Anolis sagrei: one gene and its partner. The protein of the gene in region 2 purifies or fractionates together with the protein of the main gene of each other region. This does not show direct contact. Links are inferred from orthologs where the notes say so. Each region holds a gene or a part of one and is shown on either strand. Other genes may lie near its edges.

Evidence for each region.
Region 1: the proteins of LZTS3 (region 2) and DYRK1A purify together in Homo sapiens (affinity purification with mass spectrometry; 3 studies listed by BioGRID and IntAct, with this or other methods). This does not show direct contact. The link is inferred for Anolis sagrei from reciprocal best matches to the Homo sapiens genes LZTS3 and DYRK1A.

Annotation. Positions count from the first base shown.
Region 1 is NC_090023.1:71,921,558-71,930,224, reverse strand, and holds the start of DYRK1A (dual specificity tyrosine-phosphorylation-regulated kinase 1A), read right to left. Parts: upstream 3,786-8,667; 5' UTR 3,002-3,785; intron 1-3,001. UniProt on the Homo sapiens protein: Dual-specificity kinase which possesses both serine/threonine and tyrosine kinase activities. Exhibits a substrate preference for proline at position P+1 and arginine at position P-3.
Region 2 is NC_090025.1:7,953,796-7,962,683, forward strand, and holds the start of LZTS3 (leucine zipper putative tumor suppressor 3), read left to right. Parts: upstream 1-5,119; 5' UTR 5,120-5,342; intron 5,343-7,822; exon of another isoform or gene 7,823-8,004; intron 8,005-8,888. UniProt on the Homo sapiens protein: May be involved in promoting the maturation of dendritic spines, probably via regulating SIPA1L1 levels at the postsynaptic density of synapses.

The DNA of each region.
Region 1 (8,667 bases), on a different chromosome or scaffold from region 2:
TAATGTTCAGGTGGAATCTCCTTTTCTGTAATTTAAACTCATAATTCAGAAAAAACTACCAACCCCCCCCCCCCCACTTCTTTGCCCATAAGAATCAAAGAGTTGGAAGGGACTAAAAGGGCCGTCCAATCCATTGCTTGCCATGCAGGAACACACAATCAGAGCACCCCGGACGGATGGCCATCCAGACTCTGTTCAAAACCTCCAAAGGAACCTCCGTCACACTCCGGAGCAGAGTGTTTCACTGCTTAACAGTTCTCACAGTTAGGAAGTTCTTCCTAATGTTCAGGCAGAATCTCCTTTCCTGTAATTTGAACACATAATTCAGAAAGAACAACCAAAAGCCCCCCTACTTCTTTGCAAATAAGAATCAAAGAATTGGGAGAGAACACCATCCAGTCCATCCCTTGCCATGCAGGAACACACAATCAAAGCACCCCTGACAGAAGACCATCCAGCCTCTGTTCAAAAGCCTCCAAAGGAGGAGCCTCCACCTCATTCAAGGGTAGAGTGTTTCACTGCTGACCAGCCCTCACAGTTAGGAAGTTCTTCCTAATGTTCAGGCAAAATCTGCTTTCCTGTAATTTGAACTCATAATTCAGAAATTACTACAAAAAAGCCCCTACTTCTTTTCCCATAAAAATCAAAGAGTTAGAAGAGACTACACGGGCCATCCAGTCCATCCCTTGCCATGCAGGAACACACAATCAAAGCACCCTGGACTGATGGCCAGCCAGCTTCTGTTCAAAAGCCTCCAAAGAAGGAGCCTCCACCACACTAAGGAGCAGAGTTTCACTCCTGAACAGCTCTCACAGTTACAAAGTTCTTCCTAATGTTCAGGCAGAATCGGCTTTCCTGTAATTTGAACTCATAATTCAGAAATAACTACCAAAAGCCCCGCTCCTTCTTTGCACAATAAGAATCAAAGAGTTGGGAGAGACCACCATCCAGTTCATCCGTTGCCATGCAGGAACACACAATCAAAGCACCCCTGACAGAAGACCATCAAGCCTCTGTTCAAAAGCCTCCGAAGGAGGAGCCTCAACCACACTCCAGAGCAGAGTTCCACTGCTGAACAGCTCTCACAGTTAGGAAGTCCTTCCTAATGTTTAGGACATAATCTCCTTTCCTGTAATTTGAACTCATAATTCAGAAATTACTACCAAAAAACCCCTACTTCTTTGCCCATAAGGATCAATGAGTTTAAAGAGACTACAAGGCCCATCCAGTCCCTCCTTTGCCAAGCAGGAATACACAATCAAAGCACCCCAGACAGAAAACCACCCAGCCTCTGTTCAAAAGTCTCCGAAGAAGGAGCCTCCGCCACACTCCAGGGTAGAGAGTTCCACTGCTGAACAGCTCTCCGTTAGAAAGTTCTTCCAAATGTTCAGGCGGAATTTGCTTTCCTGTAATTTGAACTCATAATTCAGAAATTACTACCAAAAAACCCCGACTTCCTTGCCCATAAGGATCAAAGAGTTTAAAGAGACTACAAGGCCCATCCAGTCCCTCCTTTGCCAAGCAGGAATACACAATCAAAGCACCCCAGACAGAAAACCATCCAGCCTCTGTTCAAAAGTCTCTGAAGAAGGAGCCTCCGCCACACTCCGGGGTAGAGAGTTCCACTGCTGAACAGCTCCCCGTTAGAAAGTTCTTCCAAATGTTCATGCGGAATCTGCTTTCCTGTAATTTGAACTCATAATTCAGAAATTACTACCAAAACACCCCTACTTCTTTGCCCATAAGGATCAAAGAGTTGGAAATTACTACAAGGGCCATCCAGTCCTCCCTTGCCATGCTAAAACACACCATCAAAGTACCCCAGATGGATGGTCATCCAGACTCTGTTTAAAAGACTCCGAAGAAGGTGCCTCCATCATACTCTGGGCCAGAGGGTTCCACTGCTGAACAGCTCTCACACTTATGAAGTTCTTCCTAATGTCTAAGCAGAATATCCTTTCCTGTAATTAGAACTCATAATTCAGAAATAACTACCTTAGCCCCCCTGCTTCTTTGCCCATAAGAATCAAAGAATTGGGAGAGACTACCATCCAGTCCATCCCTTGCCATGCAGGAACACACAATCAAAGCTCCCCTGAGAGAAGACCATCCAGCCTCCGCTTAAAAGCCTCCCAAGAAGGAGCCTCCACCTCATTCCAGGGCAGAAAGTTTCACTGTTGAACAGCTCTCCCAGTTAGGAAGTTCTTCCTAATGTTGAGGCGGAATCTCCTTTCCTGTAATTTGAACTCATAATATAGAAATAATTGTAAAAAAAAAAAAAAAAACCCTAGTTCTTTCCCCATAAGAATCAAAAAGTTGGGAGAGACCACAAGGACCATCCAGTCCATCCCTTGCCATGCAGGAACACACAATCAAAACACCCCAGGACGATGGCCATTCAGCCTATACTGAGAGAGAAGAATAAATTTCAATTAACGATCCCAATCCAAATCATTCCCTCCTAAGTTATAGATCGAGTCCTTTGGGGGGTGAAAGGGTGGTCTAGGAATGATTTTTTTTAATTATAAATTGAGAACCAGTCCTGATTTCCCCCCGTTCAGGTGCATTCTCCCTCTGAGTGACACAGTAGATAGGACAGGTACGTGCTGCAGCGGCCCTCGGCTGACAGAAACACTTCTCCTCGTCAGCCTGGGCTGCCACACCGTCCAAACAGCCCGACAACAGGTGCGGAGGGCGGGAAAGTAGAGAGGAGGGGGAGGCCCACCTGTCCACTTCTCCCCCCACCCCAAAAAATAAAAGCAGGGCCTTCCTTCGTAGCCCAGGTGCGCGCCATGGATCCCTCTCAGCCAGGCCTCCTCCGGCGCCTTCGCGGTTTCCCTGCCTGATCGGAGGAAGGGAGGAAGCCGGCGCCGCTGCCTCCCGCTTTCCTCCAGGCCGGCCTCCTCCTCCTCCTCTTCAAGATGGCAGCGGCCCTCCTCAGCCTCCCTCTCTTCGCCGCGGAGGCCCCGCCACTCACTCACTCGTTCACTCACTCACTTACCCGGGTCTGGGGCGGTGGCCGCCTCCCCGTCCTCCTCGGGTTCCTGTCCGCAGGGCCTGCAATAATCCCGACCGAGGCCTCCTTTCCCGGCGGCGGCGGCAGTGGCGGGAGGCGCCCTCAGTTCATTCCCCGCCTCAAGCCGCGGAGGTCCGGCTCGGCCCAGCCCTCAGCGGCGTCCCCGCTGTCGTCTTTTCCTCCTCCTCCTCCTCCTTGTTCTTCAGGGCCTTCGTGGCCCCGGAGCGGAGCCAACCACGCACCCCCTCCCTCCCTCCCTCCCTTTTGGAGGGAGGTAGGCAGGCAGGCAAGAAGGGAGGTGGCCCGGCCCGGCGGGCGGATCCGCGGCGTTTCCTGGCCGGGAAGGCTGTCTTTCCTCTCGCTCACAAAATGGCGCGCGTTCCAAACCTGCGCAGCGAACGGCCAGCCTGGGCCCGGACCCAGCGTCGGAGTAGCAGTGGCGGCGGCGGAGGAGGAGGAGGCTTCAACGGCTGCGGTGAGGCCGGGCCGAGCGAGGAAGGCAGAGGCAGGAAGGAAGGAGGACAGCGCGGCGCTTGAACCGAGCCCCCGGGAAACTCCTCGCTCGCTCGCTCGCTCGCTGGCTGGCTGGCTCTCCTCCCCTCTCTCTCTCTCTCTCTCCCTCCCTCCTTCGCTCTCGCTCCTTCCCCTCCCTCCTCACTGCCGGCTTCTCTGGAACTAAGCTCCAGCCACACACACACACTCACTCTCTCACGCGGGCGGGCGGGAGTGCGCGCGCAGCCGCCTCGCTTGCTCCTTTCGGCCTCCGCTGACGAGAATCAGATTTCAAAAAAAATAAAACCTCAACTACCTCAAAATAATATATATATATTTAAAAAAGTAAAGCTTCCGTGAGGGGATTTCTAATATAACCCACTCGGAAATTAGCTCATTTAGGCGGGAAGAGGGGGGAAATTGTAAAAAAAAAAATCTTTTTTTAAAGAGGCCCAACTGACAAAATGGCGGCCGGGAGAGCCTGTTACTATGACAACTGTCAATCACGCCGCCACGGCCCCGCCCCTGCCAGGCGGGAATCCGCGCTTGAGGAAAGAGGAAGGGGTCGAAGGAGGCGGAGCTTGGTCGCCTTGGCGACTAGTGCTTCGTTCCTGTCAATCATGCCGTCAGGGCCCCGCCCGCTGCCAGGCGGGAATCCGCGCTTGAGGAAAGGGAGGGAAAGGAATGGGTCGAAGGAGGCGGAGCTTGGTCGCCTTGGCGACTAGTGCTTCGTTCCTGTCAATCATGCCGTCAGGGCCCCGCCCGCTGCCAGGCGGGAATCCGCGCTTGAGGAAAGGGAGGGAAAGGGAATGGGTCGAAGGAGGCGGAGCTTGGTCGCCTTGGCGACTGCTGCTTCGTTCCTGTTGTTATAAATTCCGAGGAGCCTGCGAGCAGGAGCGCGCGCGCGCACGCACGCGGTACTGGGGCTACCCCTCGCGCCTGCCTGCCTGCCTGCCTGCCTGCCTTCCTGGTGGGTCTTCTCGCGGGTTGCCATGGGGACGGGACGGAGCAGTCCCGCTTCAAGGTGAGGAGAAGGAAGAAAAGAAGGGACCGCAGGCCTCTCACATCCGTGCTCGGTGCCGACTCGCTGTGGTGTTCTTCCGTCTCCGCGGTGTGGTCCAAGTGGCTTCGGACAAGCATCTCCGTCAAATGGATATCATACAAAGGCCGGAGCGAGAGGAAGGGGAGTGTGCCGCTGGGTTTCTTTCTGACAGTGCTGCTGAAAGGGGAAAAGGCGAGGCCCGGCACCCGTTCGCCCGCGGTGGCGCCAAGGCCTCTCTACCGAGGATGGGAGCCATGGGGCCTTGGCGGAGACGGAGCCCCGAAGACCCGGCGCAAGGGAAGGAGGAGGGCCAGGAAGGCGCCCCGAAGGAAGGAAAGAAGGGGCCAGGGCAGCCTCCTCGCTTGCAGGGGCGCCTTCTCGCCCTCGCTGGGAGATTTTAAACACCTCCCAGGCTGGATTTTCGCTGCCTAATAATGCGGTTTGGAACTGCATTATATGGTTCCACACCGCATTATTTGGCCCTAGTTTTGGGGTTGAGTTCCTGCCATTAGGGACCACTTTAATCGCCATGCTACTTTGACAAGCCTCTGCTAATGAAATCTGGGGCCTCGCCAAACTACAACTCCCTGTATTCCAAAGCAGGGGATCATGGCAGTTAAAGTGGCCTCAAATTGCATTAATGGTACACTGCAGATCTATGGGCACACTTGGGCCTTCCCTCCAGGTGTTTTGGACATCAGCTCCCACCATTCCTAACAGCCTCAGGCCCCTTTCTTTTCCCTCTCAGCTGCTTAAGCAATGATGTATACAATGATGTAGTTGTAGATATACTGTATATACTCGAGTATAAGCCTAGTTTTTCAGCCCCCTTTTTAGGCTGACCCCCCCCCCTTGACTTATACTTGAGTCAAGGTTATTTATTATTTTACTCTGTTATTAGTATTATTTGTATTTAATCTTTTATTCTATTTGTTATTATTATTACATTTACATTATTTTACTTTATTATTATCATTATTACATTTATTATTTTAATCTATTATTATTACATTTATTTTTCTCTATTATAATTTTATTACATTTTATTTACTCTATTATTATTATTTTATTACATTTATTATTTTACTCCATTATTATTATTACTATTATTACTGTTATTACATTTGTTATGTTACTCTATTATTACTGTTATTCTTACATTTCCATTATTTTGCTCTCTTTATTATTGGAAGGATACACAAGCACATTTACGCTGAAGAAGGTTAGAGTAATGGTTTAATCAGAGTTTGACATAAATTACAGTTTTATGTAAAAATTCAAAAACATTTCACCTCCTGATGCCTCCATTAATTTAATTTCATTTATATCTATTTTTTATTTTGAAATTGGCCCATAGCTGCTGGATTTCCCACCCTCGGTTTATACTCGAGTTCATACTATTTCCCAATTTTTTGTGATAAAATTAGACACCTCAGCTTATATTCGGGTCGGCTTATACTCAAGTGTGTGTGTGTGTGTATAGTAAAAAAATCAAGGTTTGCTTTTGGGATTTTTTAAAAAAATAGGTATTTTCAAGAGGTTGAATCCATAAAGCGGACTGTTTCCCATTGGCACTGTTAGCCACGCCCTAATATGGGATGGGCAGCATAGATAACCTGATGAGGCAGGATTATGGAAGCTACAAAATACATCTGAACAGGCAAAATGACAAAGCCCTGTCCCAATATAATATCAGAGATCAATTGTCCTTAGGGTAGGCATGGGCAAACCTGACTTGAGGGCCACATGCTAGCATTCCCTGCTAAGAGGACTGGCAGCCTGGTGATGGAAGGAAGGAGGGGAAGGATGGAAGGAAGGAAAAGGGAGAGGAGGAGAAAGGAAAAAGAGAAGGAAGAAAGGGTGGAAGGAAGGAGGGAGAAAGAGGGAAGAAATGGAGGGAAGAAAGAGAAGGAAGGAAGGACAAAATGGAAGGGAGGGAAGGAGAGAGAGAGAAGGAAGACAGGATACCGAGAGAGAGGAGAGTCTGAGAAAAGAGCCCAAGGGGCCAAATCCAACCCCCAGATCTGGGTTTACCCATACCTGCTTTAAGGCAACTAAGTGTAATAAGGGCAAAGATTCCAAACCAATTATTGCTTATGCAGAAGAGAAGATTTCTGCAAGTCTTGCTTGTCATGTAACCAGCATCTGCTGAACTTCCATACAAGCACTAAAACAGTATTTCTCAACATTTTTTTTTACCTAGAAGAACCTCAGAAATAATTTTCTGGGCTCAGAGGCTGCAACTACACTGTAGAATTAATGCAGGTTGACATCACTTTAATTGCCATGGCTCAGTGCTGTGGAGTCTTGGGAGTTGTAATTCTGCAAGGTCTTTAGCCTTCTGTGCCAAAGTGTGTGGGTGCCTCTCTAGGGTTCCACAGCACTGAGCATGGCATTTACTCCACAGCATAGATAAACCAAAGAATCCTTGCATTAAAATTATTATACTTATAGCTTATATAAATGTTTGTTTTTTCAGTCATAGTCTCTTGCAGGAACCAGTGACCTCACACAGAACCCTGCTTGATAAGCCCTGCATTTTTTCATGCCACTTATAATTGGATATGCTGCATCTCATTCCTTCCTTCTCTTTCCTCCCCGCATTCCTTCCCTCTTTCTCCCTTCTTCCTTCCACCCTTTCTTCCTTTAAGAAACACTTAGGCATACTTGCCCTACTAAGTGAGGGCATGCCTAGTTCAGTCACAGGCCATGACTTGTAAGATTTTTGAACTATGAACCATATCTTCAGAGGTTTCTCAACTGTGAGAGCCAAGGCTGCTGTATGATTTGAAAACCTTACTGCTGTCAGCAGCACTACAGGAGCCCCCGGTGGCGCAATGGGTTAAAACCTTGTGCTAGCAGGTTGGTGGTTCGAATCCAGGGAGCGGAGTGAGCTTCTGTTTGTCAGCTTCAGCTTCCCATGCAGAGACATGAGAGAAGTGTCCCACAGGATGGGAAAACATCCCGGTGTCCCCTGGGCAACGGTTGGTTTGAACCCAGAGAGCTGGGTGAGCTCCCGTCTGTCAGCTCCACCTTCTCATGCAGGGACATGAGAGAAGCCTCCCACAGAATGGGTGTCCCCTGGGCAATATCCTTGCAGATGGCCAATTCTCTTACACCAGAAGCGACTTGCAGTTTCTCAAGTCGCTCCTGACACGAAAAAAGCAACACTACACAATCTTGTACATATATTTTTCAGCCATTAAGTGAATGAAGCAAACGTTCCATATATGAAACAAACCACATAGCACTCTCTTATCATTGTAAGGATATGTGTAGATACAGTTAATGTATAATTGCTCTATCTTGGACTACATGGCCCTTGTGATCTCTTCCAACTCTATCCTTCTGTGATCCTTTTTTCAAGGATTTGGGAATATGGAAAATCCAGACAATTACATGTTAAAATTGTATCCCTCCTGTGTATTTCTGCTGCTTCTTCCATCTTTATCTATATAAATAAAAATGTAATATTCATTTGTGGGATTAACAGAACTTGAAAACCACTGGACGAATTGACCCCAAATTTGCACACAAGACACCTACCATAGCAATCTATGTCCTTGCTATGTCCTCAAAAAAAATCAACCAAAAAAAAAACCGGAAAGTGCTTAAACCCCCACAAGCCTGAATGGCTATATAGACCACGCGTTAAAACGACACCTTCCTGCACCCCCCCCCCCGCACGAAGGGGGAAAAAACCAACAGTTGAGAGAGAACTGCTGGGGAGAGGGAGGGAAAGAAAGGTGACCCACAGATACTTTTCTCAAGCCCCTGCCTTTCCCTTCCCAAACACTTTTATTTATATAGATAATTTGAAATCACTGTTCCAGGAGGGAGTGGGAAGATGGGGGGGAGGGCATGGGTAATGGGTGATACACATCTAAGGAATACAGAAAGTGACATTTGAGGTAAAGTGACTTTTGGAATAATGTATATCGAAATAAGATTTGTATGGCAAAAGTTTGTTAATTAAATGGATGCATCAATAAATTATTTTAAAAGCTGATTTGAACTGCATTTCTTAATACATTTGCATCGTTGTAAACTCCAATGAATGCAATAATATTTATAAATATTGGTACAAGACCTAAATAGTGAATGACAGCAATTCAGC
Region 2 (8,888 bases):
GGCGACTAAAATGATCAAGGGTCTGGAGAACAAGCCCTATGAGGAGCGGCTTAAGGAGCTGGGCATGTTTAGCTTGAAGAAGAGAAGGCTGAGAGGCGATATGATAGCCATGTATAAATATGTGAGAGGAAGCCACAGGGAGGAGGGAGCCAGCTTGTTTTCTGCTTCCTTGGAGACTAGGACGCAATGGAGCAATCAGGGCCGTAGCCAGAAAAAAATTTCGGGGAGGGTTGACAATTTGGGGGGGGGGGGGCGTTGAAAAATGGGGGGGGTTTGAAAATTTGGGGGGGGGGGTTGAAAATTTCGGGGAGGGTTGAAAATTTGGGGGGGGGGGGTTGAAGCCTGCCTCCTAGCTCACGCTGAAGCAAAGAGCACAGCAGGGGGCAGAGCAACCTTCCATAGCCTGCAGCTCCACCCCTGTCAACCACCTCCACCAAGTCTGGCCTCCTTAATGAGAGCATTCCACACACACACACCCAACTTGGTTGCTTCACTACGTCGGCTATTGCTGCAAGTATTGATATTGTTGATGTTTTTGATGATGATGTTTTTGGTTATTGCTAGATTGATATTTTAGATTGTGTCTTGAATTTTGAACCTTGTTCTTTCTATGTTGTACACCGCTGTGAGTCGCCCCCGGGCTGAGAACAGCAGTATATAAGCAAAGTAAATAAATAAATAAATAAATGACAGTGTGAATAAATTGTCAATATTTGCTTGAGATAGTGCTTACAGTTCTGGAGGGACTCTTAATTTTTTGCATCTCATAGACTTAGCATGGGATTTGGTTAACCAGTTAAAATTCATGATTAAACCAGGTTTTTTTAAAAAAAAATCTGAAACATTTCGGGCGGGGTTTGAACCCCTAAAACCACCCCCTTGCTACAGGCCTGGGAACAATGGCTTCAAACTACAAGAAAGGAGATTCCATCTGAACATGAGGAAGAACTTCCTGACTGTGAGAGCCGTTCAGCAGTGGAACTCTCTGCCCCGGAGTGTGGTGGAGGCTCCTTCTATAGAAGCTTTTAAGCAGAGGCTGGATGGCCATCTGTCAGGGGTGATTGGAATGCAATATTCCTGCTTCTTGGCAGAATGGGGTTGGACTGGATGGCCCATGAGGTCTCTTCCAACTCTTTGATTCTATGATTCTATGATTCTTCAATGTGGCATGCTTTCAAATATTGAAACATGCTTCTTGTATCGCCTCTTTTGCTTCTCTTTTCCAGGCAAAATTCTGCCTCTCATAAGGATTTATAGTTTCATCTAGATCAATGTTTCTCAAATTGGGGGTTGGGACCCCTGAGGGGGTTGTGGGGGTGGGGGTGGGGGGTGAGAGGGGTCGCCAAAGACCATAAGGAAAAAACAGTATTTTCCAATGGTCATGGGGGTTCTGTGTGGTAAGTTTCTATTATATCATTGGTGAGGTTCAGAATGCTCTTTGATTGGGTGAACTATATATCCCAGCAACTACATCTCCCAAATGGCAAGATCTATTTTGTCCAAACTCTACCAGTGTTCACATTTGGACATATTGAGTATATTAAGTTTGGTCCAAATCCATCATTGTTTGAGTCCTCAGTGCTCTCTGGATGTAAGTGAACTACAACTCCCAAAACTCAATGTCAATGCCCACCAAACTGTTCCAGTATTTTCTGTTGGACATGGGAGTTCTGTGTGCCAAGTTTGGTTCAGTTCAATCGTTGGTGGAGTTTAGAATGCTCTTTGATTGGGAGTAAACTATAATTCCCAGCAACTACAACTCCCAAATGACAAAATCAATCTCCCCCGCACACCACCAGTATTCAAATTGGGGCATATCGGGTATTTGTGCCAAATTTGGTCCAGTGAATGAAAATCCATCCTGCATATCAGATATTTACATTATGATTCATCACAGCAGCAAATTACAGTTTTGAAGTAGCAACGAAAATAATGTGATGATTGGGGGTCACCACCACATAAGGAACTGTAAAAAGGGGTCGCAGCATTGGGAAGGTTGAGAAACACTGTTGTAAAACTACAATTCCCAGAAGTCTATGGAATTTAAAGTGGTGCAAAACTGCATTCAGCCTTCAATGTAGATGTACCCCAAATATCTTTCAATGGCGGAGTCTCGAAAGGGAGCCAATTCTTGGCTCTTCAAAGAAGAAAAAGCAAAGATGGGGCTCTTTTCCTGACAGCATGGAAATGTCTAATTATTATCCTTCATATCACTTTGCCCTGCTTTGTGGGTTGCATTTCGTATTGGAAACCTGTCTCTATAGCAGCAACGGCATCGCATTATCCAAGGGAGATAGATGTGGAAGCAGTTAGTTGGAGGGAAGAGAAAAACCAAGACTAAGTGATTCATGCAGAAAGTGGCCATGCAAGGAAGCCAATGCGACCATGGCTCTTGGATATATTCCTGTGCAATGGAAGATGTAGTTTTGTTGTTGTTGACTACTTCAACCAGAGAAGTCAGCCATAGCAGAGCACCTGATGAACCAGCCTGGACACAGGATATTATTTGAGAACACAGAAATGCTGGACCACACCAACAACCACCATGTCAGACTACACAGAGAAGCCATTGAAATCCACAAGAAGCATGTGGACAATTTCAACAGAAAGGAAGAGACCATGGAAATGAACAAAATCTGGCTACCAGTATTAAAAACCTCTAAAATCACACCAGCAAAACAGCAGAGAGGAAACAACCAGGCACATCTTAACACCTCTCAACAAAAGGTTTTCCCAGGCTCAGGCAGGCCTTCAAATGCTAATGAAGGTGATCAGTTGAAACATTCACACCTAGCTCCAGCAGACAAAGAGTCCTTGGCCCCACCCTGGTCATTCCACAGATATATAAACTCATTTTCCTATTTCCAACAAACCTCACTACCTCTGAGGATGCTTGCCATAGATGCAGGCGAAACGTCAGGAGAAATGCCTCTAGAACATGGCCCTATAGCCCGGAAAAACCCACAAGAACCATTATTATTATTATTATTATTATTATTATTATTATTATCTGGTTTGTCATGCAATTATTATTATTATCTGGTTTGTCATGCAATTATTATTACTATTATTATTATCTAGTTTGTCATGCAATTATTATTATTATTATTATTATCTGGTTTGTCATGCAATTATTATTATTATTATTATCTGGTTTGTCATGCGATTATTATTATTATTATTATTATTATTACCTGGTTTGTCGTGCAATTATTATTATTATTATTATTACCTGGTTTGTCGTGCAATTATTATTATTATTATTATTATTATTATCTGGTTTGTCATGCGATTATGATTATTATTATTATTATTACCTGGTTTGTCGTGCAATTATTATTATTATTATTATTATTATTATTATCTGGTTTGTCATGCGATTATGATTATTATTATTATTATTACCTGGTTTGTCGTGCAATTATTATTATTATTATTATTATTATTATCTGGTTTGTCATGCGATTATTATTATTATTATTATTACCTGGTTTGTCGTGCAATTATTATTATTATTATTATTATTATTATTATCTGGTTTGTCATGCGATTATGATTATTATTATTATTATTACCTGGTTTGTCGTGCAATTATTATTATTATTATTATTATTATTATCTGGTTTGTCATGCGATTATGATTATTATTATTATTATTATCTGGTTTGTCGTGCAATTATTATTAGTATTATTATTATTATTATTATCTGGTTTGTCGTGCAATTATTATTATTATCTGGTTTGTCATGCAATTATTATTAGTATTATTATTATTATTATCTGGTTTGTCGTGCAATTTTTTAAATTATTACCTGGTTTGTCGTTCAATTATTATTATTATTATCTGGTTTGTCATGCAATTATTATTATTATTATTATTATTATCTGGTTTGTCATGTAATTATTATTATTATTATGATCTGGTTTGTCGTGCAATTATTATTATTATTATTATTATTATTATCTGGTTTGCTGTGCAATTATTATTACTATTATTATCTGGTTTGTCATGCAATTATTATTATTATTATCTGGTTTGTCGTGCAATTATTATTATTATTATTATTATCTGATTTGCCGTGCAGTTCTTATTATTATTATCTGGTTTGTTGTGCAATTATTATTATTACTATTATTATTATCTGGTTTGTCGTGCAATTATTATTATTACTATTATTATTATCTGGTTTGTCATGCAATTATTGTTATTATTATTATTATTATTATCTGGTTTGTCGTGCAATTATTATTATTACTATTATTATTATCTGGTTTGTCGTGCAATTATTATTATTACTATTATTATTATCTGGTTTGTCATGCAATTATTATTATTATTATTATTATCTGCTTTGTCATGCAATTATTATTATTATTATTATTATTACCTGCTTTGTCATGCAATTATTATTATTATTATCTGGTTTGTCTTGCAATCATTATTATTAAAATTATTACCTGGTTTGTCATGCAATTATTATTATTATTATTATTATTACCTGGTTTGTCATGCAATTATTATTATTAGTATTATTATTATTATCTGGTTTGTCTTGCAATCATTATTATTATAATTATTATCTGGTTTGTCGTGCAATTATTATTATTATTATTATTATTATTATTATCTGGTATGTCGTGCAATTATTATTATATTATTAATTGCACATCAGGGATGCTTTGAATGCAATTTCCCTGCTTCTTGGCACAATGGGGTTGGACTGGATGGCCCAGGAGGTCTCTTCCAACTCTATTATTCTATTATTTTATTAGACACATTCACATAGTATTATTATTATTATTATTATTATTATTATTATTATTTTACACACACACATTTATATATATATGTGTGTGTGTGTGTGTGTATACACACACACACACACACAGAGATATCTCTATATGCACACACACCCATACACACACACAAACACACACACACTCATATGTATATACACAAACAGAGACTAACAGTATTGCCAAGCCATTTGGTCCCATCTCCATCTGGAGGGTGGCGGGAAGCGAAGGGTTAACTGCAAAGTGGGCGTGGCTCCGCGCTACTCCTCTCCAGCCTCGCTCTCCGATTGGCCGGGGCTCTGACAGCGGGGCGTGGCCTCGCGCCTTTGCCGCAAGAAAAGGGACCAGACGCGTGTCGGCGGGGAGGGCGAACGTGTGAACGCGTGACGCCGGGGCCAGAGATGCGAGTCGACCGGGCGCCCAGCCCCGGATCCAGCTTTTGGCCTTTTTGCCTTGAGACATCCTCACCGAGACCCATTTGGTTTGATTTGAATGAGAGGATTGGGACGCCTTCCCAGCTGGAGAGAGAGCTGAGCCTGCAAACAGTAAGTGATGCCTTTGCAAAAAAATATTGGAATAATATGCAAATTGAGTGGGATTCCTGAAGGAAATGGGGAGGGAAGAGTGTGAGTGTGAGTGTGCAATTCAGGTGCAATGCACAGCATGGAGGGTGTGTGTGTGTGTGTGTGTGTGTGTGTGTGTGTGAGGGAGTGTGAAAGAGGCAGGCTGGCAGGGATGCTGCTCCTGGCCATCTTTGAAATATCTCTCTCTCTGTGTGTGTCTGCATGCACACACACACACACATTCACATATGCACACACAGACAGAGACACAAACACATTCACATATGCACTCACACAGATATGTATGTATGCACACACATATGCACACAAACCTATAGACACACATATACAGACACATACACACATTCATATATATATACACACACACAGAGAGACACACATACACAGAGAGAGAGAGAGAGATCTATATGTGCACACACACATGCGCAAATATGCACACACACACATATATACAGACACATACACACATTCATATATGCACACACACAAATATGTATGTATGCACACACACATATGCACAAATATGCACACACACACATATATGCAGACACATACACACATTCATACATATATATATATATATACATACATATATATATACATACATACATAGAGAGATCTATATGTGCGCGCACACATGTGCAAATATGCACACACACCCATAAACACACACATAAACACATACCCACAAATATATATACACACATAGACACATATGCACAAATATGCACACACACCCATACATACACATATATACAGACACATAAACACATTCATATATATATATATATATATACACACACACACACACATACATACACAGAGAGATCTATATGTGCACACACATGTGCAAATATGTACACACACCCATAGAGACACGTATATACAGTCACATACATTCATATATGCACACACAGATATGTATATATGCACACACATGTGCACAAATATACACCCACACACACACATATATACAGACACATGTGCACATTCATATATACACACACACATATTTATAGGTGCACACACACGTGCGCAAATATGCACATACACCCATAGACACACATATATATACAAACACATATACACATTCATATATATATATATATATATATATATATATATATATACACATTCACACACACACACATATATATATACAAACATACACATTCATATATATATATACACATACACACACACATATATATACACACACATACACATATGCACACACACACACACATATATATAGAAACATACAGACTCGCACACATATGCACACACAGATATCTGTATATACACACATTCATATATACACCTAGAGAGATATCTATGTATGCAAACACATATACACACATATATACACACATTAATATATACACACACATTATATATGCATACACACATTTATATATGGATGTATATATAGATATACACACACATATATATATCAATGCACACACACAAATATCTATATATATCAACAAAACACACACTTATATGTGCACATACACATATACACATACACATCTCTATGCATACAGACACACACATACACACATACAATATATATTTTTCACAAATTTACATATATATGTACTTGTCACATGCATATGACACTTTTAAAGTTGCTTCTTGTAATTTCAATATATATGTTTGAGTGCATGCACATAAATAGACACACGTTTATGCACACATACATGCATGTAGGTGCACACTCATTAGGCTTTTAAAGCTACTTCTTGCCATTTCAATATATACATGTACATGCATGTGAGACTTTTACATGCACACTATACATATATGCACACACCGATATATGCATACACATGTGAGACTTTTATTGCAGCTCCTTGCAATTTTTAATATATATTCACACACCCTGAAACATATATGCACCCAGACACGCATACATATATGCATACACATGTGAGATTTTTATTGCAGCTCCTTGCAATTTTTAATATATATGCACTTACACTGATATATGTATATGCACCCAGACACGCACACATACATGCATACACATGTGAGACTCCTTTCAATTTTTAATATATATGCACATACACTGATATATGTATATGCACCCAGGCACACATGTACCCAGACATGCACACACATATGCATTCATATGTGAGAATTTTATTGCTGCTCCTTGCAATTTTTAATATTTATTGCAGCTCCTTGCAATTTTTAATATATATATGCACACACTGTGATACATACATGCACCCAGACACGCATACACGGATATGTATGCATACACATGTGAGACTTTTATTGCAGCTCCTTGCAGTTTTTTTTATATATATATGCACACACTCTGATACAGATATGCACCCAGACATGCATACACATGTGAGACTTTTATTGCAGCTCCTTGCAATACATATATATACACACTTGTGCACACACATACACGCTATCATTTGAAGTTTGCCTCCCTTCGTATTGCATTTCCCATTTCCCCCTTTCTGCTTTGATTTTTCTATGCACATAATTCACACACACACACACACACACACCTTTGCAGACATGTGTGCTTCCATGCATTAGACAGACAGATCTGTGCACAAGTCGGAGCATCCTTCCATCCTAGGCTCTCCGTGGTGGGAACATGGTGAGGATATGATTTTTCTTTTCCGTGACTGGGGTGTTTTATTTGGGGAGGGGGCTGTTGTTGGGGATGATGTCATCAGTGGGGTGTCATCATCCAGGAGAGGTGACGCTGGCTGCATTGGGGTGATCGCTTGGATATGTATTGGTGGGGGGGGGGGGATGCACACACAACATGGCTGCAAATTATGTCATCTAGTTTTCGGAGAGGTTTCTGGCATCACTGACGGTTTGCCATTTCGTTGGGAAGCTGCAAGGAGAGACACCCCCCTTCTCCTCCTTTATAAGGGTTAGGTTCAGCAAAGATGTCCATATATGTCAGGCATATATCATGCTATATATATATATATATATATATATATATATATATATATGACATGACATGACTCCCATATGAGTGGGCACCCAACATCTCATCTCCGTCCCTATTATACCTCATCCAAAAAGAGATATGGTATCTTGCACATCAGGTCTGTGGCCGGGTCTCGTAAAGCATGAAACCTTATAATAAAATCCTATAGCCTCTCTATCTATCTATCTATCTATCTATCTATCTATCTATCTATCCATACATACATACATACATACATACACATGCACATAAATATATACATGGATCTATACATACATACATATATGAAACCTTACAATAAAATCCTATAGCCTCTCTATCTATCTATCTATCTATCTATCTATCTATCTATCTATCTATCCATCCATCCATACATACATACACATGCACATAAATATATACATGGATCTATACATACATACATATATGAAACCTTACAATAAAATCCTATAGCCTCTCTATCTATCTATCTATCTATCTATCTATCCATACATACATACATACACATGCACATAAATATATACATGGATCTATAC